Sus scrofa: one gene and its partner. The protein of the gene in region 1 purifies or fractionates together with the protein of each later gene. This does not show direct contact. Links are inferred from orthologs where the notes say so. Each region holds a gene or a part of one and is shown on either strand. Other genes may lie near its edges. The genes, in order: CACYBP and OTUD5.

What was found.
Region 2: the proteins of CACYBP (region 1) and OTUD5 purify together in Homo sapiens (affinity purification with mass spectrometry; 4 studies listed by BioGRID and IntAct, with this or other methods). This does not show direct contact. The link is inferred for Sus scrofa from reciprocal best matches to the Homo sapiens genes CACYBP and OTUD5.

Annotation. Positions count from the first base shown.
Region 1 is NC_010451.4:117,055,417-117,071,831, reverse strand, and holds the start of CACYBP (calcyclin-binding protein), read right to left. Parts: upstream 7,838-16,415; 5' UTR 7,440-7,837; coding exon 7,419-7,439; intron 7,018-7,418; exon of another isoform or gene 6,940-7,017; intron 3,115-6,939; coding exon 2,895-3,114; intron 380-2,894; coding exon 283-379; intron 50-282; coding exon 1-49. UniProt on the Homo sapiens protein: May be involved in calcium-dependent ubiquitination and subsequent proteasomal degradation of target proteins. Probably serves as a molecular bridge in ubiquitin E3 complexes. Participates in the ubiquitin-mediated degradation of beta-catenin (CTNNB1).
Region 2 is NC_010461.5:42,999,194-43,014,853, forward strand, and holds the end of OTUD5 (OTU domain-containing protein 5), read right to left. Parts: intron 10,081-15,660; coding exon 10,016-10,080; intron 9,931-10,015; coding exon 9,774-9,930; intron 9,676-9,773; coding exon 9,527-9,675; intron 5,743-9,526; coding exon 5,539-5,742; intron 4,081-5,538; coding exon 3,879-4,080; intron 3,791-3,878; coding exon 3,677-3,790; intron 3,379-3,676; coding exon 3,254-3,378; 3' UTR 2,298-3,253; downstream 1-2,297. UniProt on the Homo sapiens protein: Deubiquitinating enzyme that functions as a negative regulator of the innate immune system. Has peptidase activity towards 'Lys-48'- and 'Lys-63'-linked polyubiquitin chains. Can also cleave 'Lys-11'-linked ubiquitin chains (in vitro).

The DNA of each region.
Region 1 (16,415 bases):
CATGGAGTAATTCTTCCCATTTAGATTCTTTACCAAAAGATCAAATGACCTACGACACAATAGTGAACACATTATCTTTCTGGTTCTCAGGAAAGGTGCTCTTCAGTTCTTGTGGGGAAAAAAGGCACAGTCTTAGGATATGCATTTGGCCATCCCAGATGATAAGACTCAACCTTTAAAGCAAGTGTAAAGGATAATTAATTCTAAATTTAAGCAGAATTTTAGACACCGAGAAGAACAGAATCCATAATAAGACACTGTCTTTCCTATATGAGAACTCACCTCTCTGTGAAATGCACCTGCACATTCTCAGTGGGGACTTGATGAACTCCAGTTAAGGTAATGTAGATTTTCACAAACTTATCTGACTGATCCCATCCTGGTAACAACAAAAAGAAAAAATATGAGTAAAGTCTGATACAATCTCTGGAATGGCAAATGCTTATAGTTCATTAAAAAAAAAAAAAAAACTAAGATAAAAATCTAGGAACAGACACATGAAAAAAATATACAAGAAATTTTTTTAGATGAGGAAATTGAGCGTCAGAGCAGTTAAGTAATCTATTCAAAGTTAGGCATCTAGCTAGTGCTAGAAGTTGGATTCAGATCCAGGTTTACTGAACACAAAGCCCATGTTCTTTCTTTTTATTCCTTAGAATGAGGAATATGATTGTTAAATATATTCCTTAAGAATAGCTCATTTCCCCTTTTTATGGAAATAATTTTGTCCTATTCCCAGATATTATTAATTCTCCACAAGCTGACTGGCTAAATATCAATACTGTCTAATTCCATAAGCATTTTTACTTCTCTAAGCAAATCAAAAAAATGCAATCCTAGCTTCCTCAATTCCTTTCCCTGACAAAGTAGAATGAATATAAATTTTTAGAGTCCAGGGGAAGTTCCCCTTGTGGCTCAGTGGTTAGCGAGTCTGACTAGCATCCATGAGGACGCAGGTTCAATCCCTGGCCTCACTCAATGGGTTATGGATCCAGTGTTACCGTGAGCTGTGGTGTAGATCGCAGATGCGGCTCGGATCCTGCATTACTATGGCCATGGTGTAGGTTGGCAGCTACAGCTCTGATTGGACACCTAGCCTGGGAACCTCCATATGCTGTGGTGCCGCCCTAAAAAGAAAGGGGGAAGAAAAAAAGGAGTCCAATTCATCCAAGTCTGCCAATTTGACTAACCTACACATATCCAGAAAAGGCTATTTCAGTATATATTATCAAATTATTCAGTCTCCAACCTAGATGAATTCTTTCAAAGAAAACATGCAAACATCACACAAGAAGCAAATGATAAAAATATACATGTATTTACTGTGTACTATATGACTTTTCCTCACCTAATTCTATAGAACAAAAATTCAGTGTTAATGAAAAAAGATCTCCTAAATGGTTCTATAGAACTTCATTTTGTTTCTCCCCATTCATTCAATCCATCCTCCACATTGCCAAATTTCTCCCTAAACACAAATCTAGGTTCCTAGTTAATACTCCATAATCCTACCACCTTAGTTTCCTACAGTTAACGACATGCACAGCATATCTCCTACAGTACTGCAGTGCATCACTGAAACATGAAACACACATTGCTTTTTGCTATGACGATACTCAAAACACATGATGCCTTTCATGTCCTTTGCCTTCCTTTTTTACATTTGCTGAACTCATTTTTTTTTTTTTTCCTATTTTTTGCTTTTTTGGGCCACATCTGCAGCATATGGAAGTTCCTGGGCTAGGAGTCGAATCAGAGCTGCAGCTAACCCACCAAGAGACGCCAGGGACTGAACCCGCATCTTCACGGATATTAGGTTTGTAACCCACTGAGCCACAATGGAACCTCCAGAACTCACTCTTTAAACTCAAATGTTTCTTCCAATTCTTCCTGACTTTTCCTCCCCCCCAGGGGAATTATTTTAACAGCTATATTCCCATAGTACTTTATAAATCTATTCAGTTAAGCAAATATTAAGTACTTACTATGTGCTACATACTGTGAGCATAAAGACTGTCCCTCTCCTTATGAGAGCCCATTACTCAGATTCCAAGTTACACTATTTCCAAAATAAAATGTCTATAATCAGTTGAGGGAAAATGGTATTATGACATTGTTATGGTATTAGCTGTATGTGTTCCAACCACACCATGAGCAGGATTGGGTCTTGGTCACTGCTGTGTACTCACAAGTCCAAGTACAATAAAGGCCCATATTAGATGCTCAAAAATGTTTCTTGAATTTAACTGGTTTCCCTTCTTCAGTTAATATGGGTGGATAGTTGGCCAAGTGAAAACCAAAAAAGGAAGAAAACCAAAACAAAAGCTGTGTTCCATGTATAATTAATGTATTTCAGAATAGGTTCCTTCTGTTGCTACTCATCACTGTACTAATCATCTTGCCCTCTTGTTAATTAGCTTCCAGAAATTCATCCCTTCTTCTAATCTCTTAAAAAGCATCTATTAAGTAAGAATTGACAGGTGTTCTCTTATAAATCACCAAAACCAAATACTTTATACACTGTTTTAAAAATTGATTTGGGGAGTTCCCGTGGTGGCTCAGTGGAAAACAAATCTGACTATCGTCCATGAGGACGCAGGTTTGATCCCTGGCCTTAGTCAGTGGGTTAAGAATCTGGCATTGCTGTGAGCTGTGGTGTAGCTTGGATCTGGAGTTGCTGTGGCATAGGCCAGTGGCTATAGCTCTGATCTGACCCCTAGCCTAGGAACCTCCATATGTGCATGTGCAGCCCTTAAAAAAAGAAAAAAAAAAAAAAAAAAAAGAAAAAAGAAAGACAAAGATAATAAAAAATCTGATTTTGTTAGTGGGTCACTACTGAGGAACAGGCTGCTCAGAGGCAGAAAGAACTAGATGGGGGGGGGCGCAAGTCATACCATAATTACTGATTTTTACTGTATATCCTGTTGTAATAGGAGCAACCACAGCCGCCGGCTTTTCATTTTCCAGAAGTTCTGCTTTCCTCTGTGATTTCTGCTGCATCTTGTTCTTGATTTCTGTCTCAATCTTGGACTTTTCAGTGGTCAGGGTATCACGTACTCTTTTTCTAGTAGCCTTTTCCAGAAGCACCTTCACCTCTTCTAGATCTTTCTGTAGCTGTGTTAAAAAAACACATTAGCTATGATAAATAACAACATGATGTTGTGCACATTGGTCATTTCAATTTACTGAAATAGGAGCTAATAATAAGAGGTTCATTTAAATTTTCTAGGGTTGAGTAGCAACAAGGATTTTTTCGTTCAGCCTATTGAATTGTAAATAACTCAAGCTCCCTTTTTTTAAAATAGGAAAACCTAATCTTCAAGTAACAATAGGTAATCGAGCCAAAACTTTCTAGTTTGGTAGACTGTTAACTCTTTTTTTTACTTTTGTGATTTATAAACATTTTCTGATTTGTTAAGATGAAATTCAACAAAAAGGAATTCTTGCATTTCCTTGTAACTTCCAGTCCGTCATCAGATATTAGGAATTTTCTAAATATTAAAAGATATAAGTGAATACATGATGAGTGTGGTGAAATGCTACAGCAACTTGACAGGTTATCCTCTACTTTCCATCACTAACTGGTCCTCACTGATCTTCCTATCCCAAATAATACATATAAAAAGTTTACATTTTTAAGGCAAAAGATAAAAAAAAGATATTTCTTCTAATAAGTTTGATTCTGAAGCTCCAGGTTTCTTTTACCATCAGAAGTCTGGGACCTGGTTTGGTTGCACAGTAAAGGGTAAAAACCTGGGCAAATAATCCAACATAAAACACAATCCTGGATCACTGGAAATGCCACCTGCTTCTTATTTGTTACACCAAGACATTGCCTATCCAAGGCTACTGCTATTTCTTTTCAGGGGCAGAGCCAAGATTTTGTGAGGTTAAGAGTCAAAGACACTGTTAGAAAATTAATGAGCTTAAAAACTTTTCCTCGGTTATCCTCTGACATAATGCAAATTTGTAAGATCTTTCTAAACAGGGGATTCATTTTTTCTTAAAATGACTTTACAATCTGTCTTGATACTAGCAATTTGAACAGAAGACTTTGATATTATAGCCTGAGATCATATAATGCTCAAAATAAAAATATTTAAATGCTTGATAACTCAGTATAATATGTGAAGTACAGTTTTAAAGTCTTTATGTTTCTTAATAGTATTAGAAAATGCAAAACAGGGGAGTTCCCCGTCATGGCGCAGCAGAAATGAATCCGACTAGGAACCATGAGGTTGTGGGTTCGATCTCTGCCTCGTTGAGTGGGTTAAGGATCTGGTGTTGTGGTGAGCTGAGGTGTAGGTTGCAGACACGGCTCAGCTCCGACGTTGCTGTGACTCAGGTGTAGGCAGGTGGCTACAGCTCCGATGGGACCCCTAGCCTGGGAACCTCCATATGCCACAGGTGTGGCCCTAAAAGGACAAAAGACAAAAAAAAAAAAAAAAAAGGAAAAAAGAAAAAATGCAAAAACAGAAAAATGAACTCTTTTATCACAAGTCTTTTTATCTCATTTAACTCCAATACTCTGTTTTGCCTGTATGTAACTGCTAAAAACATGGTTTAAAAAGTCTGTGTGCCCAGTCTCTGGTCCACATTCTATCTCCGGCTCTCAAAATTCATTTATTACTAAGGCAAAAAACTGCAACTCATCTTTCGAGCATACAACCACGATGCTGCTAGTTCAAAGCAATCTTTTTTTTTTTTTTTTTTTGGCTTTTTAGGGCCACACCTGCAGCATATGGAAGTTCCCAAGCTCGGGGTCAAATTGGAGCTGCAGCTGCCGGCCACAGCCACAGCAACCCACGATCCGAGCCTCATCTGAGACGTAAACACAACTCATGGCAACATCAGATCCTTAACCCAGGGAGCAAACCCAGGGATCGAACCCGCATTTTCATGGATACTAGTCAGGTTCGTAGCACACTGAGCCACAAAAGGAACTCCCAAAGCAATCTTTTTGTTATAATTTCTTCAAAAAGTCACGCTGATTCTAATAATATGATTAAAACATTTAAAATGTAAAATGAGTATGTTTTGTTTCCAGAGTAGGGATTTAGGTTTTTTTTAAAAAAGAAAATGTATAAATTCTAAACAATATGGATCCTTTTTCTAGGAGACTCAGAACTCTGTGAATTTAGCAATGTATGCCCAGACCCTCTTTACAGCCAGTTTGGCTCTACAGCACCACAAAAATGAGATATCCACTGTTAAGTCTGAAGCAACTTACAGCAGGCCTGTTTAAGATAATTCCTTAGTTCTCTGTTATTTACAAATTTGAAATGAGTAATAATGATCCCTTTGGTGCTTTTCCTGTAAATATCTTTAAGATGCCTGAGATACAGCAGTTTGTCACCTAATTTCTCTAGGCATTCATTTATCTTCCTTATGCAAAATCACATCTCCTTTTTATTCCTATCATAAATATATTCAAGCTTTCTCTTCTAACTTATTTCCAAGTTCTTCACTAAGAAGCATTAAAACCAAAGTGGTTCAAAACAGGCAAAGGACTTGAGCAGACATTTCTCCAAAGATGTACAAATGACCACCAAGCACATGAAAAGATGCTCAACATCATTAGTCATTTAAGGAAATACACATCAAATTCATAATGACATACCACTTCACACCCACCAGGATGATTAACATCAACAAACAACAACAAACTCCAGCAAATAAGAGTTGCTGAGGATGAACTGAAATTGGAACCTTCATACACTGCTTGTGGGAATGAAAAATAGTGCACTTTGGAAAAGAACTTAGCAGTTTGTCGGTTAACCATATGACTCTGTAATTCCACTCCTCCATATATACCACAGATTTGAAAACCTATGCCCACATAAAAAGCTGTACACAAATATTCACATCAGCAGTGTTCATAATAATCAAAGTGAAAATCAACCAAATGTCCATCAATTTATGAATCAAAATGTGGTATATACATACAATGGAATATTATTCAGCCATAAAAGTATATGCTTCACCATGGATGAACTTGAAAACATAACGCTAAGAGGCCAAAAAAGTCATATGCTTTAAGATTACATTTAGATGAAATGCTCGGAATAGGCAAATCCACAGAGACAGAAAGCAGACTGGTGGCTGCTGGCAGAAGAGGAGTAATGGGAAGTGACCGCCTAATGGCCACTTAATAGGTTTCCTTTGGGGGTGATGAAAATGTTCTTGAATCATATACTGATGGTTGCACAACACTGTGAATATACTAAAAAAAGCACTGCATTATACACTTTAAGATGGTAAAAACAGCGAATTTTATATCAAACAAAAAAACCCCCCAAATGTCCCTAAACTTATACACTGCAATTAGAAAGCCTGTTACTTTGAAAGGGATAAATATTGAGCAACTCGTGTATGTACAGTCACTTCAGAGTCTTTCCTCAGGGCACGTGGTACCCAAAGACCTATCTTTAAAACACATAACAAACTTGTGGCACATTATCCACAATAATACTTAAAACACATACACACTTTTTCATTTAAAGCAAATTCTTCGACTTAAAAAGTCAAATGTGAGGATTTCCCAGTCTTGTTCATATTAAGCAGAAGATTCCCAGGGAGTAAATCTAGTTAGTGGAAACCCAACAATTAACTGTGATTAACAGTATTGTCATTGTACTTAAGCCAGAAAAAAGAGCAAAGCAAGTATTATTATTCCCATTTTGTAATTGCACAAACTAAATCTCCAAAAAGTTAAGCCACCTGTGTTGAGTTTATAGAGCTTTAAAAAAAAGTTACAACCAATTTCCCAATATAGTTATTTTTTAAAACGCACATAGCAAACAATTGTTTTGCCAAGCACTGTTTACAACCCTGTGAAATGGATACCACTGTGGCCCAGAGATGCACCATAACTTGCCCAAAGTATGTGTAGAGAAAACATGACAGAGAATTTAAGTGCTAGGACTGAGGACTTCTCACCTTCCAACTGCCCTCTCAGTGGAACGACTCTCAGTTTTTGCAATCGGCTTTAATTTAACGAAGCTTCACGTCCAAAGGCTGGTGTAAAAGGAGTGAAAAGAGCCTGAGGATAACGTGAAGGTGACCAGCTCTTGGGTCCACGGTTGGATCCACCTGCCGCCGAGAACCGCAACACACCTCCGCTCACCTACAGCGCCGACCGCCGGCCGGGGTTGTGGAAGGCATCCAACGGCAACTTTCCGGGGTAAGCGAAGCCCCGAAGGCCCGCAGTGGCCGGTCGGCACCGGGGCCGCCACAGCTGGGCGGGTGGGAGGCCGCGGGGAAGCGCGGGAACCCAAGGACGCAGGAAAGCTGCCAGACAGGCAGGTGTCGCCGGCAGCCGCAGCGCAGCTCGATAGGGGAAACAGGGCGGTGGGGCGAAGGACGCAGCGGGAAGCTTTAGTAAGGCCGAGGGAGGAAGATGAGGCCAGACCCCTTACCTCTTCCAAAGCTGAAGCCATGGTCGAGCTGCGTCAGGCAAGGCCCGAGCTCCACCGGCACAGGGCGAGAACAGGAACGCCGCAACGAGCGCGCTGATTCCAAGCGCAGATCGCACGGACACGAGTCGCAGTGGCCGTGGCCGCGGCCTGAGAACACGCCCGACTCTGAACGGGAGAGCAGCCGGCCTCCGGCACGCGGCGCCTCTGGAACCTTCGCGAGTCCGTCGCCGAAGGCCCACCCCGCTCCAGCACCGCCTATAGGGCTTGGCCCCGCCCTGCCTATCCTGGCCCCGCCCCGCCCACCTCGCCCCGTAGCAACGGCTCAACTCTCGCGATCAAACCGGCAGTTCGAGAAGAGTAACGCCTCTTCCTTCCCGCCTGGGCAACTGTACGTAATTTACTTTGACCCCCATCGCGCCGACTGCGCAGTCGCAGCTCGAAACCGCCGCTTCTGCTTACCTTAAACCACCCCGGAAATAACGCACCAATCTTCGGGGCCTAAACCGGAAGTTGACTAGGCAGTCGAGTGGTTCGGTGCGCTCTAGGACCCGGGGCCACTTCGTCGGCCATCTTGTCTAAGACTGTGAACGTATGCGAGTAAAGGACGAAAAAAGGGATAAAGGCGAGCCTACGTGTGCTAAAACGGGAAAAAACGAGGACATTAAGTGCGCAGGATCCTGAGGGGAACGGTTGTGTTTTCACTGGGTTCTGGCGCTCTGGGGACGTCAGGATTCAGCGTATACGACGTGGTGGCGTCATCACCGGTCGCAGTAGGAGGTGGGGTTGCGTTGGCCGTGTGGCGGGACCCAGTGGCGGCTCCGAAGCGGAGTAAGCTTCCTAATATGCTGGGCGCCTCCCGGGGTGGCTGAGTTTGCTTCCTTCATCGACCAGTCACCAGATTTGGATTCGATTTCAGTGAGCCTATTAATGTCAAAGAAAATGTGAGCTAAGATTTCCTGAGGCTGCATTCTGCTCCGGTTCTGACTCCTGCAGCCCGGCTTAGTAAGGCCCTTGAAAAACTCACTTTTCAGATAGATTATTTTAGCCTTTGGGGACCTCAAAACGTCTGAAACACGGTTGAGAATGTAGACGGTTACCCCTGAGATGTCAAATAACCCACACTCGGCTTTATCAACCCCAAGGTAAAGATGATCCGCAAGTCACAGAAGGAAAAAAGTACAGAAAAATGCAGGGCCATTATCTCAATAAAGAATCAGAAGTACAATACAAAAACAAATTACTTTTGCACACAACTTATGGACGTTAAGGAAAAGATGCTAGAACTAGAGAAGTTCATATCGTTTGATTCCATTTAAACAAAATCTAAAGCTGTGAGACTGAAAATCAGGTTGTGTTTGGGAAGACAGTGACAGAAAGAAGCCACGAGGGGGCTTTTGAGATTCGGCTAATTTTTTTTTCTTGATTTGAGCCCTGGTTACAGATGTGTTCACTGTGTAGAAATTTCATTGAGCGTCCTTCTGTGCAGTTTCTTGTGTATGTTATTTTTAACTAAAAGTTATATTTAAGTAGGCCCAAGAGGTAATTTTCCTGGTAGAAATGTAATACCGATAACAATCGTCAAGATTCGTAGGACTGAACTCCAAAGATCTGTGCATTTTATTTATACTTCAGGTTTTTTTTAAAAAGTGTCTAACTGGAAGCTTGGAATTATTTAGGCACTTAAATAGGAACAGATATCCCATTGCACTATGTGAAAATTTGACCTAATGCAGTGGTAAAAATTTGCTTGATTATGCACCTGGAGCAACTCCACCCCTCAGATATCCTAAAGTCACAAGTTTTAAACACCACCTATATGTTCATTCCCACCACTCTTCGGAAATCCAGACGGTCTCTGCGTGGATGTCTCATAAGCAGGTCCAACTCAGCTTGTGTAAAAAAACGCCTCTCAATTTCTCGTCCTCACACCTCATTGCAATTCTTACAATGATTTGCTAGCTCTGTGAATGGCCACCTCATTCTCTTAATTGCTCAGGCCAAGAAGTCATACTTGAGTCTTCAGTTTCAGGTCCTACATCCCATCTTCTGGCAAGTCTTGGTTTTATCTTCAAAGTATGTTGGTAATAAAACTACTTCTCATAATCTCCACTGCTACCAACTGAGACTAAGGTGTCATTATTTTGTCTGGATTTTTATCCTCTTAACTGGTTTCTCTCCTTCTCCACAGTTTTCCACAGGGCAGCCAGAATAACCTTCACAATTGTATAGAATAAAGTCCAGACTCCTCACTATAACCCAGGATGTTCTACATGATTTTATATCTCACCTTTTATAAATTTCCCATCTCATGGAATTCATCTCTCACCACTCTCCCCTCTCCCTGGTTTAAACACTGGTATTTTTGTCATTCCTTGAATCCACTGAGTTTCTTCTTACCTCTGGTTCTGCATGTAAACTTTGCTTTCTCTCTGGAATGGTTTCCCACCAGATCGTCACTTGGCTTTGTCTGTCTTCCCTTTCTGCCCGCATTTAAAACACCTCAGAATTCCCATTCTTAGGAGTCAACAAAACAAAATTCTGCTTCTCTCCAGATGTATACTATAATTGTCCATACATCTATCATGTAGAAGCAAAACTGACTCCTTGCTCTGCTGCCATTACGAGTAATTGGGTACATGGGATCTCAAAGCAAAAACAAAAACTTTGTATCCTGAGATAGATAAAAAAACAACAAAAACAAACAAAAACCAACATCATCAACATACACATCAGTTCATTGTGTCTAGTTCTAGTTCCCCAATGAAACTCTGAACCTGAGCTTTTCCTATAAAATTAGACTCCTTAAAAATCAAACACACTTTATCTCTGACTTTTGCAATGCTAATGTCTAATAAAAGTATGGATAATAGTGAGAATTACTGTTTCTCAGCAGGAACAAACTACTTACAGAGTCTATACTTGGAAATTGTATAGTTTTTTCCTATAAATATTGTAATTTCTGTTTGGTGAGTTCATCTTTCTGCAGCCTGAACTTCCTTGTAAGTGAATTATTAAAAGATTGTGCTTTGAGTGCCCTTTTGACAGTAATCAAAAGTTTTGTTAAAGTGTAATTTCAAAAAGGTGAAATCAAGATTCTCAGGCAAATATAAAATGAGCTTTGCTATTTCATACAACTCATTGGTTAATGATAGAATCAATAAGTTGTTAAAACTATCAAAAAGTGCATTTGCATAGCTGAGTACTTATGGGCAATTTAACAATGGAATGTTAGTGTACATTTTCAAAGTTAGACATAAGCTGGTTAATGTCCTATGGTGTAGTAAACTACATATGGCCTTTGGAGTTATGTGTTCCTCTGGAAGGAAAATAGGGATTTGCACACTACTGAACAAAAATCTACAAGTTAACAAGTAACTTCACTAAGTGTAGGACCTTTAATCAGTAGTGAACAGTGAGTTCCACTTACTATTATGTCAAGACTACTCATGACCTCCTGTCAAATTCAGTAGATATTTTCTGAATAATTTACTTTTGATGTAAAATTTCTCATTGTTTTAACTACAACATGGACCAAACAAAAGATGTCTGTAGTCTGGGTTTGGGCCACAAACTAATTTTACAATCTCTGATTAGTATTTTTTTTAAAATACTGAATTGTAAGAGGAGATCTGCAATCTGACTTTCATTCAGTTCCATGTACACCCTGAATGAAAAGCAAGTTAGAAAAAAACACAAATCAGGATTCTAGGCACCCTGCCTTCACTCCAGGAGAGCCTCTGGAGCACTGTTGGATTATATAATGACACCCACTGTGACTCTCAAAGGCTAGCAGTAGCCACCCAATCCAGGACTAGCCAAGCATATTTTTGCAAGATTTTGGAATTGGGATGCTGAGATGCTAGTCCATCTCTGCTGGTCACTTGAAGACATGTAAACTTGGAAGCTGTGCATTTAGAAGCAGATGCCTCTTTTCAAAGAGGCAGGAGCAGATAAGCATCACCTGGCAAAACAAGCAGAAGAGTGATTATGAGAACAGTTGCTTAGGTTCCTGATAGAATACCAGTTCTCTCTCCCCATTGCTGCCTCAGGCCCAACAATTTAGCTTTTGGTAGCTATGAATTAAATATACTTTTTTCTTCTTATTTAATTGCATTATTAGTAAGCTAGCTGGAGAGAGTTTCTGTTAACTTGCAACCAAAGAATCTCTACAGAGAGGAATACAGGGCACTTGGCTGTGCTGTACAGGATATCGTTTTGTAGGGTAGGTATAACCTGGAACAAATTCCTGTGTATTTCTTCTTGCTTGTGTAGAGTCTAGTGTCAGATAAGTTTTACATAAAAACCGGGTTCAGATGATTCAGAATAAAATCAACTAAAGAAAGTAAAAAAGACATGTATGGTTTCCAGAACAAATGTTTATTACTGCTTAATGGGGCCAAAGGGGCAACACAAAGCATTGAAAACATCACTGGCTCACAAAAACAGTCACCTTGCTACCTTCTTGCATTTGTTTACTTCACAAGGCTTCATTCACACGTGAAAACAAGATACTAATCCAATTCAAGTTCATAACAATTATAAAAGTAAACATTTGTTGGGACAATGTACAATAAATTGCACTTTTCTTAACAAGCATTACATTTACATTTATAGAGTGTACTATACATAATACATGGAATTATGGAAACATCTAATTGGTCAGTGTTTAGAGAGGAGAAAAGCTGCTCACTAATTTCTTTTGTAGTCAATTAGCACAGTTTGGTCTAATCAACTCCTTTATTCTGGAACCTGTTTTCATTGGAGAAGCCATGGACAAAATCATAGAATTCACAAAAATAGATGGCATAGAATTTCTACTACCTCCCCAGCAAGGGGAAAGGTAGGAATTGAAATAAATAAAGTGGGACTGAGAAACTTTTTTTCTTTATTTGAATTAAGGATCCATATATTATGCAAAATACCAAAAATAGTGAAACTGATGCAAAGGTTATTGGAATCTTGGATTCTGGGACCATTTCCAGGCTTTATTCTTGTGCTTTCATGACACCAGAGTCTTGATGTATTTATGTCCTTATCAATCAGTTTCCTATATTTTAGTCCATATATAATATGTAGTTATTAACAGATTTTACATGTTAATTTATTGCCAATGAAAAGGGAAAGAAACTTAAAATATTAATTTTCTACTCAATGATTCTTTTAAAGTTTTCAGAATACCACAAATGATAAACCGGGGTGGGGGTGGGGAGAGTGGGACGTGTTGGTGAAGATGTTTTTATAGCAGGTAGCAAATTCATTTGAAGATAAACTTAACATGTAGTCTTTTAGATGGAAGCTTAGTAGGGAACATCTGACAGCTGGCTGTAGTCACTAGGCTACTTGTAAACATCCACTTTTCTCCTTACAACTCAAGATCATCTCCCACTGAGGTGCAGCCCATACTGAAGTATTTGTTTTGATAGCTTTTGAAAGGTAGGAAAATGCCTCAGGGCTTTGCCTGTATTGTATGGAAGCCACTCTAAGAGAGGAAGTATGTTGTGGAGCAGTTCCAGTTCAATGTTACCAGCATGGCAACTGGAGGGAACAAGTTACGTCTGGTAGGAAAACAGGGCACTGAGCTGTGTCTGGCCTTCTGTATCTGATCACCATGTGCATGTTCAGTTGCATGGTACCTGGGTATTCAAAAGAGGCAGGGATACTCCATATAAAATTCTACCAATCTCTCTTTCACACACACACACACACACACACACACAACTCCTCCATATAAAATTCTACCAATCTCTCTTTCACACACACACACACACACACACACACACACACACCCCTCACAACATTCAAATCAAACAACAGAGTTTGTCCACGCTCTCATCTACTTGTAACTGAAGCAAGAGAATCAGAGCTACTTTAGAGTGTTTTTTTGTAAAGAGTAAGTTATACAACGGAATCATCTTAGTAAATAAAAGTGTTCTTTTCAAGAGAGCTAAAACAAAGTATTTGATTTTTTAAAGGCTCCTTTCTCTCTAAAAGGATCCTGAAATCAGACAACTAACTTAGCAGAATGATTTGCAACTAATCAACTTAAAGGATCTAACTCTCACCTCTTGTGCCCTAAACTATGTATCCTCTCGTTTTTCTCAGTTTAGCTAGGAAATTAACCACTAGTTATTAGCTGGAAAATATTTTAAGAAAATGGAGTAAAGGTTTGAGAAAAATAAATATTAATACATAGCATAAGAGAAATAAAATTTTTGAAAACAATGGAAACAAGATAAATACTATTAAATATCCCAACATTAGTACAAAGATTACTTTCCTACTTTATTATGGAAATTTAAGAAAGCCAATGAAGAATAAACTACTAACTTAATAGCAGGGAGAGGGGAAGAGTGTTACTGGTTGCATGGAAAAACAGGCCATAGGCCTATGTCACATTCCTATTAGTGTTTCTGATAGGCACTCATATATAAAACATTATAGGTAACTGAAAATTCTTTTGCATTAAATCATATGTAACTAAATATAACTAAATTGTGCCATGGCTCAGGATGTAGGAAGCTAGCAAACAATGCACTGCAAAATTCAGCTTGGTTTCTTTCAGCTTTAAGGAATGTGTTATGATTCTTAAGATATAAAAGCTAATGACTGAATTGTCAAATTGAATTTCATTCCCTTAATTGATTCTGCAGAATTTAATGAAAAAAAAAATCACTTTTCAGAATGCTGCAAATGTTGGCTGTTTTATACTAGGGAAAGATGAAAAACACTCTAGAATATTTGGAAATTTCCTGGATATTTGGGCTGGTCAATCCCTTTCTAAAAGAAATCAAGAGAGGAGTAGTAATTTTCAAATATACTCAAAATAAGAGAAATTAAAATTAGCAGTTACTTAATGCTGGGATGCATGAGTTTTCAATCAATACATGGTAAAGGACATGTGGTTTGAGACAGTGCTATTATAACATTATATGAATAATTTACCAACTTTTCAATTTTCTTTTTTTCTGTATTTGCAGTTGCTACTCACCCAAAGGCATTGCAGGGAGGGCCAGTTTAGTCTATGGTACCAATACGCATACCCAAGTATGATTCGGAACTGGAGAAGGGTACAAAAAAAAAATCTATAGATGGTCATTATAATCTTTTAAAAGAGTTTTTAAAAATGCAAAAGATGAATTTATTAAATGTTTGGAATGTATGTACCTACTGATTTTGTTTAAAGAAAAAAATATAAGGGGCTATGAAATTGAGCCATGTCTACAGGTAATAACTACAGGTAAGGACGTACAGCTATTTCTCTCTCAACTGCCATTTAAGGAAAATTATTCAATTTAGGCATTCTGTGAAATGGTATAAGAGCTCTGTACAGTTAGATTTATGAGAGTCACAAAACACAAAAGAAGAGCTTTAATTTAGCTAGCCATTTGATAAGGCAACGTGTACAAGGCTTCTTGGGATCTAAAGCATGAAGTACCAGTAAAGCTAACAAATTATACTAAATGATTTACAGAAACAAGTACCAAGATGCAATTTTCTAGCCATTATATTTTACAAAAAAAGAAAAAAAGAGAAAAAATTACCTTTTCTAAACCATCATGTAGGGAATGTTAAAGTCAACACAGATACTCAGAATGCTGAGTTACTTTCCTTTTGGGTGAAAGGAAATGAAAACTATGATAAAAGATGTGGAGGACAAAAAAAATTTTTTTTTGTAAGAAAAGTATTATTTGATGAGTGTAACGAAGGATAACAGCCACATCAGTTTTATGGGTTATAGGTGATATGAACACTTACTGATAGAAGGGACTTAACTTTTTAGAGTTTAATGATTATTTTTGAGGAAAGGAGCCACCGTGAAGAGCTTGTAGAGCATGCTCCTGGAGTGAAGATGGTTTTTATGCTTTTTACCTCCAAGAGTATATTACTTTTAACTGCGACGTATGGCACAGATGAGAATTGCTCTGGCACTGCAGAGTTTAAGATCCCTTGCAAAAAATATGCTCAACAACGAAGCCAAGGAAGAGTATCAATACATGTTACTGTACATAGCTGACAGTAGTTTGGTTGGTGTAAAAGGACCAAAGGCCTCCAAAACAGCTTTAAAAATGGGAAAATTAGTTTTTCCCTTACCAAAGGATTTTCCTGCAAGGTCTATTTATAAAGACATGTTAAATATAATTGAAAAAAATATTTCCATCAACTTTTAAACAATAGCTTTACCTTTCCATGAGATAAGTATTTCTATAAAGGTTTTATATGCAATCAAAAATGTTACAAATGCATTTGCATCTCTTTATCTAGGGGTACCAGGGGCACATTTTTAGGAAGCTACAGAAATCAGAAAAAGTTGCCTAATATTAAACTAAGATGACATGAAGCTGACCTCTATTTCCCATTTCATAACTTTAACAAAGTTATAGTATATTAGTGTTTCCTTAGCAAGTATATAACAACATTAAATGAAATACTCTGTCCCTGGTTCTATTCCATTCTAAGCACAACAGCTGTTCCTGGGCCTTTCTAGCTTCTCTTGTGAAGATCCCTAAAGCAACTCACAGCATCCACTTCTGACTGTACATTGGCCAGAAGTCACAACTGTGCTCATTCTTAGGAACTTGCAATTCCCAGATGGAGTTCTTAAAGGGACCTGTTAGAATAGTAGGACCAAAATGATTTATTTTATCCTGCATATATCAAAACCTCAGTTCTTTCTATCTCATGTGTGTTCTCAATAGTCAACCTTATTCCGTGGTTCTTGGCACTTTATTTCCAGATGTACCCCAAAGAAAATAAAAATGAAGTATTCTCCTTGGGAACTGTTCATTTCCAGATCTGTTCTTTCTTTCGGACAAGGTTATCACTATCCAGGGAATCATTTTCAGGAGGAAACCTGACAGTGGTCATGACTGGCCCCAGAGTGCTTTATCTGAATAAATCCTGAAAGTTAGGAGGTTTAGGTTTCAATCTTTTTTTTTTTTTCTTTTTTCTATGACAAATAGCTTTCCTATCACTTCAATCTTGGAATAAAAGACATCT
Region 2 (15,660 bases), on another chromosome or scaffold:
CAGCAGATCTAGAATCTGGAATGGCGAATGGGGCGCGCGCGCGGGGGGGGGGGTTCTTGGGGATGGGAGCAAGCCAGAGTGGGGGTGGCTTCTTGGGCATGCTTCCGGATGAGAGAGACGGACTGAGAGAGCTCCGGGAGGTGGTCAAGTCACAGATTTGGGGAAAATAGCTCTCGTGCCGCAGGAAGAGAGACAGGCACTCCAAAGACACACACAGAACTGCCGCGAGAGAAATACACAAACATGTGCCGCCATTCATGTGAGCTTGTCCTAGACACACATGCAGATACCTACTGTCACACATAGACAGACATCCACTGTCAGGCAGGCATGCTGCCAGAGTCAAGTTCCAGAATGACACTCGAGAGATGCACTGTTACAGAAAGGCACTCCAGAGAGATTCACATAGACCTACATGTAACGAGGACACAGATATGTCCTGCCAGACACACAGCCAGAACTTGTGACGAAGACACTGGCACCATCAGACATGCAGTGTCACAGAAAAGACTTGTACTGTTCCAGAAACGAGAGACCCAGAGTCTGACACAGGAACACACACAAACACTCCAGAGACACACATGCACTGCTCCAAAGCCAGACATATACTTAGGTGCTAGAGCAACAGATAGGCAGTGTCACAAAAACAGACATGGACAGATCCAGTCACAGTCACAGACACACACATACAGCAGACGTGCAGCGCCGTCACTGACACTGTTCAGAAATAGCTACCCAGAGTCTGTCACAGGAATACAAACGGACGTGCACCCTATCAGACAGAAACCACACGTGCACTGTCACGGACAGACCCACACAGACATGCACTCATCTCAGAAACAAACTGTCAGAGACAGAATCTCACACCCAGTCACCATCTGACACACCTGGAAACAAGCCCTCGTCACACACACAAACACACACACGACCAGAGAAACACTCTGTGAGAGGCACATAGACTTGGACTCACCACAGTCACACAGTCACACACACACACACACACACACACCCAAAAAGCAAATACACACATGTACTCTCCCTTATTCATCCAACATTTATTAGGGGTCTACTGTAAGCCTGCGAGGCCCTAGAAGGGGTGCAGATAATTAAGAGATACACAGATAAGCCAGGCATCACAGCCCTTGCCCAGGAAGTTGATAGTACAGTTTACTGGGGAAGGAGTAGACATATTTGTAGATAGAAATGAGAATGTAGATGGGGTCACACAGGGCTTCTCAGAAGGAGACCCCTCTACCCATCTTGAGAGACAAGGTTGGAGGCTTGGGACAGGGGAAGGGCAAATTCCAGGCAGAGGCCAAGGAAACTGGACAGAGAAGCAAGATGAAGTAGGCAGGGGCCAAATGGTACAGAAACGTCAACATTAGGATAATAAATAAGAACACCTGCTAACATTTGAACTCTCAGAATGTGCCAGGCACCGTGCCACCAAACATTATGTTGACCATATGCACTCTCGATGCTCACACCCAGAGTGTGAGGTAGTAGACATTAATCACCCCCATCCTACACACACGACACTGGAAACTCAGAGAGCCTGTGATTTGACCAAGGCCACACAGAAAAAGCTGATAAGGTTTCAAACCAACTCTCCAACACATGTGCTTGACCAGTGGCTTCCACAGGGACACCCTGCGGACAGCCACACCCTCACCCGCAGAGCTGGACACACATTCTTCCACAGGGGCATTCTGGAAGGACATCAAAAAGACAACTGACAAAACCCGAGGGCCAGCCATCCTTCTCACCTTGGCTTTACCTCTAGGAAGGGCAGGGAAGGAAAGTGTCAAGAGAACTGGGGAACACGAAAAAAAGGTTTAGCTGTCCCCCAGTTTCTAAAACCTGGTGGGGGGTCGGGAGTCCCCTCTGGTCACTTCCACTAAACTCACGTTGATATGCAGTGACCGTCGTGCCTGTCCAAAGCACTTCCTCATCAAACAATCACAAGAGCAAACATGCTGGGGTGAGAGGCAGGCAGAGACACTGGAAGTTCGGCTCCTGCCATCGAGCTCTCAGTTCGAGGCTCCCATCACACCCCAGGAAATGGGCTGGGCAGGCTATAGCCTGGGCCGATACTGAGGCTTGGGCAGTTGGCCAAGACAGGTGATAACAGGTCCAAAAGGTGGTTTAGTAAACTGTGAATCAAATATGAACTCTGGGCCCCCAGAGAGACCCCACTGGAGAGCATGTGGCCCTTCAGAGGTCAAGCCAAGGCCTGTGCCATCGCTGCCTCTGACCAGAGGCCCACCCACCCCCTGCCCCACACAGAACAGAGGCGCTCGGGGGAAACTGACATTTGGTTTTATTGTGCCAAGGACATTACAGATGGCGGATCTTGTTGACACCTGCAGGGCATGGGTGCCCCATCTGCCGATGCTGCTCCCACTCCCCACACTCAAATCCTGGGTGGCGGCCATGATCCTCAAAGGTACCCCACCCCGAGATTCCAAAGACGGGTGGTGGAGGTGGAAGCGTAAGGAATGCAGCGAGGTCAGAGTCTCATTGTCCAAAGCCCACTTGACACCTGCTCCCCCTGCCCTCCTACCTCAGTCTGACTCACACTCTAGACCCTGCCCACCTCCACAGAGCTGGAGGCCAGGGGCAGCAACCACATCTTTGTGCCCCGTGGCCTGCCTGCCCCCAAACCAGAGAGATGCCACCTTCACAGAGCCAATGCTGTTGTCTACATCACTTTTTGATTGGTTGATTTTATAAGATAAAAGTACATTTTAATAAAGAAAAAAATTCAACATTGAAGGCTCAGACATTCTTGGGGGTACTGGGAAGGGTATTTCCCACTTCTTCCTCCCACCTCCCTGGCATCATTGTGGAGGTGGGGTGATAAGTTTCTGATCTTGGAAGGAATGGGGGACAGGGAGACTTTCCTCTGTCTGAATGTCTCTCTTCAGGGGCTGCCTGGCTGCCAGTTGGTTTGTCTCTGTGCCTCTCGCCTACCTTCAGCACCCTTGCCCGAGTCCCCTGTGGAATGCAGGGATGGTGCTGTGCAGGGGGCAACAGGGCACATCAGCTGGCGAGGAGACGGGTGATGATGGTGGTGGCAGCGATGAGAGGGCGCGTGGGGGTGGGCCAGCCAGAGGGAAGTGGGGAGGAGCGAGAGGAGGGGAGAGAGGGAAGAAGGAATAGGCAAGAGGGAAGAAAGCCAAAGAAGGTGGGGTGGCACTGGAGGGCAAGAGTGGTGGGGGTTGGGAGATGGTCTCCAGTCTCTGGGTCTCCATCAACTCTTGTCTGGGGGTGGGTCTCTGTGCACTTTGTTTTTCTTCATACTGTCTAGGTATTCCTGTTGGGACACTGCCAGCACCGATGCTAGGATCTCATCATCATCCCAGTCGTTCAGACCTGCTGGGCAAAAGGAAGGGAAAAAGGATGACAGAGCGCTTGAAGCCTGCCTTCTCCTTGCTCTGCCAATTCCTGACTCTGGAGAGCTCCCCTTCAGGCCCCCATCACTCTTTTGTCTAAGCAGAGGGCTCCTCTGGGCCTACAAATCCCCCCTCACGTCCCCTGTGGGACAGCCCCTTGGGCCTGAAAAATTCTCCTTTCCTGGAAGATGGCCAGAGGCTCCAGGAGCCCCCTTTCAGGACTTGCTGCTGCTTCCCTCTCTCCCCGGCTGGCCCCTGGGCCCTAGGCAGAGGAGGCTTACCAAAGGCAGAGGGGGACATCTGCTGAATGAGGGCCCGGCATTCCAGAGCAGGGTAGAGGGACACGAGGGGGGAAGTAGCCCGGTCGGCCCCTGTCGAGAACTGGCTGCTTGTACCTGGGGCAGACAGACAATCAGAGGCAGGGCCCATGACCTAGGCAGGCCCTCCTAACCCCTGCATGCTACCTGTGAGCAAGCCACTAACCTGGTGCACAGGGCGAAGGAGGTTTGGCAAGAGCTAAGACAGTGCCTGGGGAAGGGGGCTTGATGCCCAGCTCAGCATGTAGCTCAGGGTGCTCGGGTGACGAGGCTGAACTCCGCTGCCGCGGGGACCGGCTGGTCCACTCCTCCAGACCACTGGAGGCTGCTGCTGTGGCAGAACTGCATGTGGCGCTGGCTTTCCGGGGCTACGGTGGGGATGGAAGAAGAAGTAAGGACACAGTCACGACCCTCCTCTGCTCCATCCCCAAAAGGCTTGCTCCCTCCCAGAATCCTGGCTATGACACAGCTTCCACATAGGCCACCCTCACTAAACCTGGTCACAAAAATGGACCATGGGATGAAGGTAAAACTCTTTCAGCGCCCCCCAACCTCACACCCTTAACAGCCAATCTGACAGGAAACCTGTTACTGCCACCTTCGAAACAGATCCAGAATCCAGCCCCTTCAGCAGCCCCCAGCACTACTGTAAAGAGTCTTCTCCTTGCTGGTCCCGGGCTTCCAACCTTGGCCCTAGACTCCACCCTGCACTCAGTGGTAAGAGGGATCCTAAGTCAGATCCCATTCTTCCTCTGCTCACAACCCTCTCATGGCTTCTGCCACATTCCGAATAAAAGCCAGAGTCCTCACCAGAGCCCACAAGCCCCTTCCGATCTGGCCCGCCACCTTCCCGGCTCCACCTACTACTACATCCTGTCCAGCCACAATGGTCTCCGGGCTGCTTCTGACTCACACCACGTGTGCACTTACCTCAGGGCCTTTGCTTCCGCTGGCCCTCTGCCTTCCCTGACATAGGACCTAATCCCCTCACCTCGGCAACTTTTGCTCAAATCTCACTTGCTCCGAGGCCGTGACATGCTATTGAATACTGTGAACTCCCTGCTCCACTCAGCCCTACTCCTCCCCCTTCCCAACCAGGCTCTATGTCTTTCATCCATAATACCTTGCAACTCATGTATTCATTATGTTTATCATTTTGTTCCACCCTTCATAAATGTAAGCACCCCCAAGGACAGGGAGCTGCGACGGCCTGCCTCACCGATGTACCCCTGTACACAGAGAACAATGCCTGGCACGACCCTGCAATAAGTATTTGTTCAACGAATTACTCAGCTCTTGCCAACATCTAGTCACTCTCAACTTGTGATGCCTCAACTGTCCATATGCCCGGCTTCACTTCCTGCCTCAAAAATTCAACCTTTCTGTGGGACGACAACCAGAGCCCGCCACCTTCACTGGCCTCCCAGCCAGGGTCAGGGGCCCCACTGATGCACGCTGTCTCCTTCTGCAGAGGAGATTGCTGAGGGTGGAGTGGGCAGGACTGATTTTACATCCTTGGCACAGAGCCTGGACACAGTAACATTTAGCGAAAGCTTGACCCTCTAAAACTACCTACGAGGCCTGCATGTTGTGACCAGTGGCTGCCCTCCCCTCCCTCCTTTAAAGAGCTTGCTCTGCACAAGTGCTGAGAGCTCTAAGGCGCAACACCAAGACCAAGACCAAGGTGAGGTACGGATAGGGCTGGGAGCTTCCTTCTTTCCTAGATGTCAAAACTACCTAATTTTTTTCTGCCTGGTTGGGGGAAAAACATAGGAAGTGAACACGTTCCTTGGCTGGACCAGTCAGTCACACAGCCCAGGACCGACCTGGCTGGGGCCACGGACTTGGCGGGCCTGTTTCTCTTGATCCCGTAGCCACTGCAGGTAGGACTCCCGAGCCACCTGCTCCTCAATGGCCTCGTTTGTGGCCTCCCAGTCTGTGGCCCGCTTCTTGTCTTCCAGCATCTGCTGTTCAATCCAGGACTCCTCCGACGTCTTTATGGCATTCTTCATCAGGGACTGCTCTGCAAACTGCAAGGAGGGGAGGAACAGGGATGTGCAATGACACTCAGAACGCCAGCCAAGAGCCAGGCCTGGCTAAGGGAGGTGGGCCCACAGGCCCGGAAGATTGGCGACAAGAAAGTAGGTATTCTTACTAAGCACCCCCCTGGGAAGGCTGCCTATTGATCAAGGACTGGGGGAAGGCAGGCTTGGGATGTGGGACTTGTCATTCCACACGCCTACACTTAGAAGCCCTGGTCCTAACCCCGAGAAGACACCTCAACTGAAGGACTAAGTCTGGGGCAGTCAGGTGCCCTCCAGCCAAGGACAAAATTAAAAGAAGTCTCACCCAGCGACGACTCACTTGCTGAGGCCTTCCTCACCTATACCCGGATGGGACCAAGGAGAAAAGATCACCTGAGAAGTTAGCAGCACATGCACAGGGTGGAGGGAGTATTGGGGCACTTAAGTGGACAAGAGGACCGTGTCAGCATGGTGTGGGGGTGCTATGAGTTGTGCGACACTGTACGAGAATGCCCTTTGTCAGGCTGTGAGACAAAATAGGGTTTTTTTAAAAATGAAATAATGAACAGTATCAGTGTGTATCACAGGGAATAAATGTAAGTATCATTCAGTGAAACTTTTTAAATTTTTTTATATAATGATTTTTATTTTTTTCCATCATAGCTGGTTCACAGTGTTCAGTGAAACATATTTGAATGCATATATACACACCAATGTGTGTGTGCACTAATTAAAGATGTAAGATGTAATTTTTTTACCCGTGGATAACAGTCCAAAAAAGTACGTAAAACTGTTAGAATAAGCCAATTAAAAAATGGGCAAAACACACAACTTCATCAAAAAAGATATACAGGAAGTTCCCATCATGGCTCAGAGGAAACGAATCTGATTAGTATCCATGAGGATGCAGGTTCGATCCCTGGCCTCGCTCAGTGGGTTAAGGATCTGGCATTGCCATGAGCTGTGGCATAGGTCTCAGATGTGGCTTGGTTCTACTGTTGCTGTGGCTGTGGTGTAGGCCAGCAGCTACCGCTCTGATTCGACCCCCAGCCTGAGAACTTCTTTGCGCCGCACGTGCAGCCCTAAAAAGACCAAGAAAAATTTTTAAAAAGATACACAGCTGGCAAATAAGCACGTGGAAAGATGCTCAACACCACTTGTCATTAGGAATTGCAAACTAAAATGGTGAGGTGGAGTTCCCGTCGTGGCACAGCGGAACTGAATCCAACTAGGAATCATGAGGTTGTGGGTTCGATACCTGGCCTCGCTCAGCGGGTTAACAATCTGGCATTGCCATGAGCTGTGGTGTGGGTTGCAGACGTGGCTCGGATCTGGCGTTGCTGTGGCCGTGGTGTAGGCCAGTGGCTATAGCTCTGATTCGACCCCTAGCCTGGGAACCTCCTTACGCCATGGGAGCAGCCCTAAAAAAAAAAGATGAGCTACCTATTAGTTGAAGACGGTAAGAACGGAAGCTTCATGTAGATACAGATGGTCACATACAGAAATATTTCTAGGTATGTATATTAACACACAAGTTAGTATACACACATATACCTCCTTGCTGTCAGCTGAAAGGGCCTAGAAGCAAGGATACCCCAGTAGCAAGGAGCACACTCAGCACCCAGATCTTGATTTCTAATAGCATTCTCCAACAAAGGAATAGGGCTCCTTGGAGAAATGGCTAGTTCTAGGACTGGGGCAGGAAATATACAAGATGTACCTGGAACACCTTCCAGTACCAAAAATTAAGTATTCATGACAAAAACCAAACAAAAAAACCCAAGAAACACTCCCCCAAAACACCGCCACAATGATGGAGTATGTCAGAGATGCAGGAACCAACCAAAAGAGTTCCCAATAGCCAAAACTGGAATAATGTTGAGCACCAAATGAAAAGAGAATTGGATTGTAACCCAAAGTGTAAAAGGTATAAAACAAACACCCATCAGCCCATGTTAATATAAATGACTGAATAAATTAATAAATGGAGGCTAAGAGGCAAATCTCCCTTGCAGACAAGGTCCAAATAATTTACGTAGATATTCCGTCCTCAAGGAGATGGAGCATAACCCCCAAGTATTAAGTGTGGGCTGGACATAATGACTTCCTTCCTACCACATGGAAAAGGGGGGTGGGGGGGGAGAGTAATTGTACAGTGGCGAAAACTTGACAGACACTACTTTCTGTCAGGTGATCAAGGTCAACATCAACAGTTATAAATCACAGTCACAGTACATACTGTTGATGCGATGGGAATGAGCATAGCGCTTCATTCACCACCGTGACCGTCCGCCCCAAAGCCATAAACCCAGTCTCCTCCTGAGAAAAACATCAAATTCCCAAAGAGAAACATCCTACAATATACCTAGACCAGTACTCCTCCAAACTGTCGGGGCCACCAAAAATAAAGAAAGAGTGAGAAACCATCACAGACAGGGGAGCCCAAGGAGACATGATGACTTCAGTTAATAATAATGTATCACTACTGGTCCACCTAACTGTAACAAATGCACCAGTCATCTGATAAATTAAATAATAGCAAAACTGTGTGCAAGGAGGAGGAGGGTACATGGGACCTCTGCACTATCTTCTCAATTTTTCTGTAAATCTAAAACTATTCTAAACAATTAAGTCTATTAAAAAAGACGTAGGGCATTCACATTTTTCACAAGTGACCAAACCACAAAAAGGCATGGATGAATCTTAAAACATACAGCGTTACTTCAAAGAAACCACTGAAAAAAATACATACTGTGCGATACCAATTGTATGACCTTCTAGAAAAGGTAAAACTCTAGAGTCTGTAAACAGATCAAAACCAAGGAAATTTACAGAAACGGTCCCAGCCAAGAGGAGCCAAAGACGACGTGATCACTAAATGTAACATGGTATCCTGGATAGGATCCTGGAACAGGTAAGATCATTAGGGGGAAAACTGAGGTACTGTGAATAAAGTATGGTCTTTAGTTAATACAGCAATATTGGTTCATTAGCTGTGACAAACATACATTAATCACAGTGGGGTATGTGGGAATGCTCCAATCGCAGTAATTACATAAATCTCAAAGTGTTGAGATTAAAAGTTTACCCAAAAAAAAAAAATCATAAAACCTCTATGTTGGTGGTGTTTAGGGTGTTGTTTCCCTAAATGGTGCCTCATTTTATGAGGCAGGAGCACTTTCCGTTTGTAGGAAGTGAAACGTGCACAGAAGGTATCAAAATCCCCAGCAAACAACTGTTTATGAGACAGAGAATGAGAATCTGTCAGTGTGTGCTAGGAAAATGCACTGCCACCTTCTGAGCACCTACTAGGCACCAGACCCAGCATTAGACACTTTCTGCATTGGCCAAGCTGCCAGCCAGATTACTCATACATTCTGCCCTAGGTCCCACAGCCAGTAAGTGGTGGGGCCCGTCCTACACTCCAAGTCTCTGGGACCACAGCTGTCTGTACCTGCTGAGGTTCAGAGGAGGATCCATGTGGGTGCCAAGACACCCAATCAAGCCTTGGCTCACACTTCCCAAGTATGACCCCCCCCATTCCACAATACCAATCCTCAACAGGTAAAAGATGAGTGAGTCCGCTCAGACAGGCAAACTGAGACCAGAGAATGGAGCCCTGAGAGATCACCTTGGGTAACACTCTAATTTTATAGAGGCAAAACCTTTGGAACGACTCAGAGAGGGAATAGGACATTTAAAATTGTGGGCTAGGAGCAAAACAGTGACCCTGACAGAGGTTTCTGGCCTCCATATCCAGCATCCATTCTGGGCACAGACACCTGCTTACCCCCGGTTTGAATGATGGCAGGCCCAGCCCCACACCAATGGTGGCCTTGTTAGGATTCACCACTGAATTGTAGTGGATATTCCGATGGTAGCTGACACGGATGGGTTCATCCTCATTTTGATGGATCCCATGGAATGTGTTGATGGGTTCTGCAAAGAAAGAGAAGGAGGGAGCATCCACAGTGGGCTGGGTGGGGCAGGCTCAGACCAGGCGTGACCAGTCGCTCGCCTACCCACCACAGAAGTACCTGTGCTGTACTGATACACCTCCACGGGCCGGTTGTACATCTCTGCCATGGCCTGCATCTCAATGTGGTTGCCATGGCAGTTGTTTTTCCGCTTCCGGTTGATGTAGGTGGTGAAGTCTTCTGTGACATAGTTGGAGAAATAGTCGGCATTCTTCATCTGCAGGATAAATCAGAGGGTCAAGGTCTATGTGCAGAAGGGATCCAGCCGCTTTGTACCCGCCCCAAGGCCTGCAAGGTCTCACCAGATAGTCCATGCAGTGCTTTCGCACAACCTCATGCATGTCCTGGTCTCCATACACTTGGTCAGCTGTGGGGACAAAAGGAGAGGCTGGGGTCAGCGTGGCCACCCAAGAACAGTTTGAGTGGCAGACCTCAAAGGAGGGCTGGGGGCCAGGGAAGCTCCCTTTCCTACCCTAAGGCATGGAGAATTCTTGGCCTCATGGGCTAGAATAGGGTCATGAAAAAAGAGGCAGGCAGGCAGGTACAGTCTTTAAGAGTAAGCTTACGGGTGAGAGGGACACAACCACAGGCCTTTTGGGCAGATGATTTTGTCAGCAAATATTTTAAATCCTGTAAGTGGCCTTAAGCACCATCAATTCCACACGTACACGTCCCTCCTCACTCTTCCCATGAGGAAACTGAGGCTCAGGGAGTTTGCAGCTTGAAGGTCACAGAGAAGGCAGTTTGGGACAAATTCACCTCTAGAATTCAGTTTTCCTGACTCTCAGGAGTCAGCATGGCCTTTATGAAGTTTAAAAAAAAAATGCAGGAGTTCCCGTCGTGGCGCAGTGGTTAACGAATCCGACTAGGAACCATGAGGTTGCGGGTTCGGTCCCTGCCCTTGCTCAGTGGGTTAACGATCTGGCGTTGCTGTGAGCTGTGGTGTAGGTTGCAGACACGGCTCGGATCCCGCGTTGCTGTGGCTCTGGCGTAGGCCAGTGGCTGTGACTCCGATTCCACCCCTAGCCTGGGAACCTCCATATGCCGAGGGAGCGGCCCAAGAAATAGCAAAAAGAGAAAAAAAAAATGCAAAGGAAAGGGAAAAGAAAAAAAAAGGAAGAAAAACTGGGCTCTAAGCCCAGTTCTGCTAGGTACAGGTGAGCAAAAGGACCCAAGGCAAGTGACCCAAGTGTTCTGAGCTTCATAGGCCTCACGTGTAAAATGGGATCAAGCTGGGGAACTTCCCAGAAGGCCTCTTGTGGGATTAATGAGATAACAGGTGTGACGTGACTAACACTGGGTTTGGAACAGAGCAGTCACTCGGAGCTCCCTTTCCTGAAGTGGGGTACTGTGAAGGTGACAGAGGCGAGCAAAATCCCACCCCTATCCACAAGCAGCATGTAGTTTACAAGAACACTAAGACACAACATATACACCTCACTTAAGCTTAATTCAGGAAGGGCAGGGGTTCTCCTGTGACTCAGCAGGTTAAGGATCTGGTGTTGTCACTGCAGCGGCTTGGCCATGGCCTGGGTTCAATCCTTGGCCAGGGAACTTGGTATGCTGTGGGCACAGCCACAAAAAGGAAAAAAAAAAAAAGGGAAGAAGGAACTAGGATCCCCTCTGCCTTGCTTGATGATGATGTCCGCATATATATCGTTCCCTCTTTTCAAGAGGTTCTTTCCATCCTCTTTGGCTGCCTACCTGTCAAACACCAACATACTCTTAAAACAGTTCCCTGTCCTCAAGGGCATCTCTATCACCAGATTTATCAAAGGTGTGTCCGGACTTCTTCTGCCTGATCACACTAGGCTCCCACTGAGGATAGAAGGTGGGTCACATCCAGGACCACCCCCAGCTCAGAGCCTGATGCAGGGCAAGAAATTGAGAACAGTCTGCTGAGTACATGGGTAGGTTAGCGGGGAGCTGGGGAGCCTTCTCCCTGAGAAATTAACGTGGGCTTGAAGATGAGGCACACCTCATGTCCACCGGCTAAGACAAAGAAGGAATTGCCCTTTGTCTCCCCGGAGACCTATGGCTCTGATGGGATCGCCCAGCACAGAGAGCTCTTCTGTGACAGCCAGTCTACCTCCGTTAAGAATCACCAGAAGCACGCCTTCGATGCCCTTCCCTGCCCTCCCTGGAGGGCTCGGTGAGATAAGGTGAAAAAGGCCACTCTGAGATAGAAAATGGGGCCCGTGCTTGTCTCACGTCCTCCTGGAGGTGCAGAGACCTGAGGGTGACGGGGAGTGGGGGTTGTAAAGGCGGGAAGGGGTAGCCCCTTCACCGATGTAAACAAGGATGTGGGTTCTGTGGCTACACTCTCCCCCCCACCCCCCAACCGTGGCACTTCCAGCAAGTCACGTGCCCTGTGCACAGGCCGGGGGGCCCCCTACTGCTGCCTTTCTTAGAAGCCAGGACCACAGAACCCGCTGTGGCTGCAGAGCTGCTTGAGGAGCTATTTCTGTAGAATAAACTTGGGGGTGCCGAAGAGGCAGTGCTGTTGGCAGCTGCAGTAAACAGGAACTGAGATGAGCGTGAAGGGGTTAAACAGGGGTTGGTCTACCAGGCTCAGGGAGGTGGCTGAGATGCTCCTAGGGAAGGGTCAACAGGCATTTCCCGGCCTGGCAAGTAGATCTACCCGAGCTAGATGCCAGATTCAGGGAGACTACGAGACAAGGAAGGGACTTGCAGGAGAATCTTCCCATGAGGATCCCCCCATTTCCCTGTCATTGACCCCTTCACCTGACGGGCAGACTCTGCTGCTTCCTAGCTATGTGGCACTGGACAAAGCCTTTAACCTCTCAGGGCCACAATGTCCTCATCCATAAAGGAAGAGAGTAACTCCTCTTCCTATCACTGGCTGTTAAAGACAAAAGGGGAGGGCCTGCTAAACACCTGAGGCCTACTGTGTTCAGGAGGTGGGGCTCCAGAGTTCTGCTGTAGCACAGTGGGTTAAGGATCTGGCATCGTCGCAGCGGTGGCATAGGTCACAGCTGCAGCTTGGATTCAATCCCTAGCAGGGGAACTTCCATATGTCAACACACACACACCCAAGAGCCACCAAATTAACATCAAATCAATAACATAGGTCTCCCAAAACAGGTTCAAGTGTGGACAAGGTACATGTGACCTTCTCTACTTACCTATAAAATATACCACCTTCTCTCCTCAGTTCTAAGACGCACTGACAGGTGGTACAGTACATATACTTACTCACAGCTTCTGGGAGGGGGCACCAACCTCACTGGTTATAAGAGGTACCCTAGGAGTTCCCGTCCTGGCTCAGAGGAAACAATCTGACTGGCATCCATGAGGTTGCAGGTTCGACCCCTGGCCTCACTCAGTGGGTTAAGGACCCGGTGTTGCCGGCAGCTATGGTGTAGGTCGCAGACAAAGCTCAGATCCCGCGTTGCTGCGGCTGTGGTGTAGGCCGGCGGCTACAGCTCTGATTAGACCCCTAGCCTGAGAACCTCCGTATGCCTTGGGTGCAGCCCTAAAAAGACTTAAAAAAAAAAAGTGGTACCCTAGTTTTGGAATCATCAATGTGGAAGAAAAGGTGCATTTCTGAACCAAGAAAACAAGGCAACAATACCTTGACAACTAGGGAGAGTAGTAGGATCTTCACAATGACATAAGGCCAGAAAAACCCCCAGGACAGGGCTAAGCACACAGGAAGTCCTCACCTGAGGAGAGGCTTGTCTTACTTTGCCAGCCCCACCTCTGTCCTCCAGCAAGCTCTCTTCCTCCTGAGAGGCTGGCACATGGGACTAGGGGCTGAGCTGGACTTCCCTGCGGAGGCCAAGGTGGGGGGAAAGGGCCCAATGGTCCTGCGGAGGCAGGGGAATTCAGAGCACTTGTTTTGATAGAAACCGAAACTCCTCCTCTTGCTGACACTGCACTTGTGGGCAATCTGCACCTGCTCTCCCCTCCTAGAGTCCAGCTGGAAGGGGGTCCCCTACCACCTCACCTCTGTCCCTAACCCAAGTAGGGCTCAGAAATCCTCCATACAATACTACCACTGGTCCCACCAAGACCTTTTCCAATCCATTCCATCCTCACCCCCAAAACCCCACTTTACACAAGAGGGATACTGAGTTACAGAAATGTGCCAGAGCTGGCCCAAGATCAACATTTGGAAGGATAAGGAGAAGCCAGGCTTTCAAGGATAACTGGTAACTTTAAGCCCTGATGCCCTAACGTGACATTGACAATACCCCAATCCAGCTATCACCTTAGCCACCTGACTTCCTGGGCCAGGCCTGACCCTGCCTGCCTCAGTTTCTCCACCAGCACAAGCAGGAATCAGTTGGAAACCTGGAAAGGCCTATAGTGGGGAGAGATTACAGATATCAGGGGCTGTACCCCTTGCTAGGGCCACAGAAGTCAGCATGAGCTTTCCCTTGCCACACTCTACTTCTACCCTTTCTCTGAGCATACAGAAACAGCAGCAGTGGGCTAAGATTCTGGCTGCAGCAGCTCAGGTCGCTGCAGAGGCGCAGGTTCGATCCTAGGCCCAGAGCAGTGGGTTAAAAGCTCCGGTGTTGCCACAATTCTGGCATAGGTTGCTGCAGTGCTCAGATTCAATCCTTGGCCCAGGAACTTCCATGTGCTACAAGTGAAGCCATTTAAAAAAAAAAAAAAAAAAAAGAGGAGTTCCCATCGTTGCGCAGTGGTTAACAAATTGGATAGGAACCATGAGGTTGTGGGTTCGATCCCTGGCCCTGCTCAGTGGGCTGAGGATCCGGCATTGCCGTGAGCTGTGGTGTAGGTCACAGATGTGGCTTGAATTCCACATTGCTGTGGCTCTGGCGTAGGCCAGTGGCTGTGACTCCGATTCCACCCCTAGCCTGGGAACCTCCATATGCCGAGGGAGCGGCCCTAGAAAAGGCAAAGACAAAAATAAATAAATAAATAAATAAAATAAAATAAAATAAATAAAATAAATGCACTCTGTGCACACATACAACTGGTAGATCCTGCCAAAGATGTTTCCGGGGCCAAATACCCACACAACAACAACCCTCACAACTACAGGGAACCACTGTATTCAATAAGTAGATGCCAGAGTTCCCTTGTGCTCAATGGGTTAAGGATCCAGCTCGGGTCACTGCTGTGGTGCAGATTCAATCCCTGGCTTGGGAACTTCTTCATGTCGCAGGCATAGCCAAAACCAAAAAAACAAAAATAAAAATAAATCCAAGCAGATGCCCTTGACACCAACCAGGAAAGACTGAAGACTGGGTAAGATGCAAGGCTGTACGAGCTGAGGACTGCCCCCCGGCCCCCAACACCTCCTTCCAAGCCTTTGCCATGGGATGGTGGGGGGGGGGAGAGCCAACAGCTCTAACAAACTTGCCTCAACCTCCCTTCCCTGCTGCTTGGGGGATGGTCCCTCAAACCTCTGTAATCCTCCCTCCTCGGGTTCTCTAAAATGTAGTCACTATTTGCTGAGGAATTACCTGGATGAGCAAGACAGAAGAGCCTAGACTGTCTAGAGTTTAAGTACAGGCCCTACCATTTGTTTTAGAGGCACCTGGGACTTGCCTCCCTGCCAGGCTGCTGCCTGCCCGCCTGCTAAAAGAGCCACAGCGAGTTCCGCTAAGGACAAAAAAGGAAGCCTGGTGTTTGCCGAGCATCTAAAAACAAACCACACAAACGTGTACACAAAGCAATAGAGGGAGACAGGACCTGATCTGTTCCCCACATCTCTCCTGGCCCAGTGGGAACTTGGCCCCACTAAGGAAATGAACCAAGAAAAAGGCCTCACCTGCCTATCAAGCAGCTGTGGTGCATAACGGGCCTGTGGCTCCAACTATCCCAACTGACACACCCTCCACCAGGGAGACAGCAGAACTCAGTCCTCTCAATAGCCTGGTCTCTGAGATGCCTGCTCCTCTACCCAAGAATTCCCACTGTAATTCCCATGGTGTGCAGCAGAAATGAA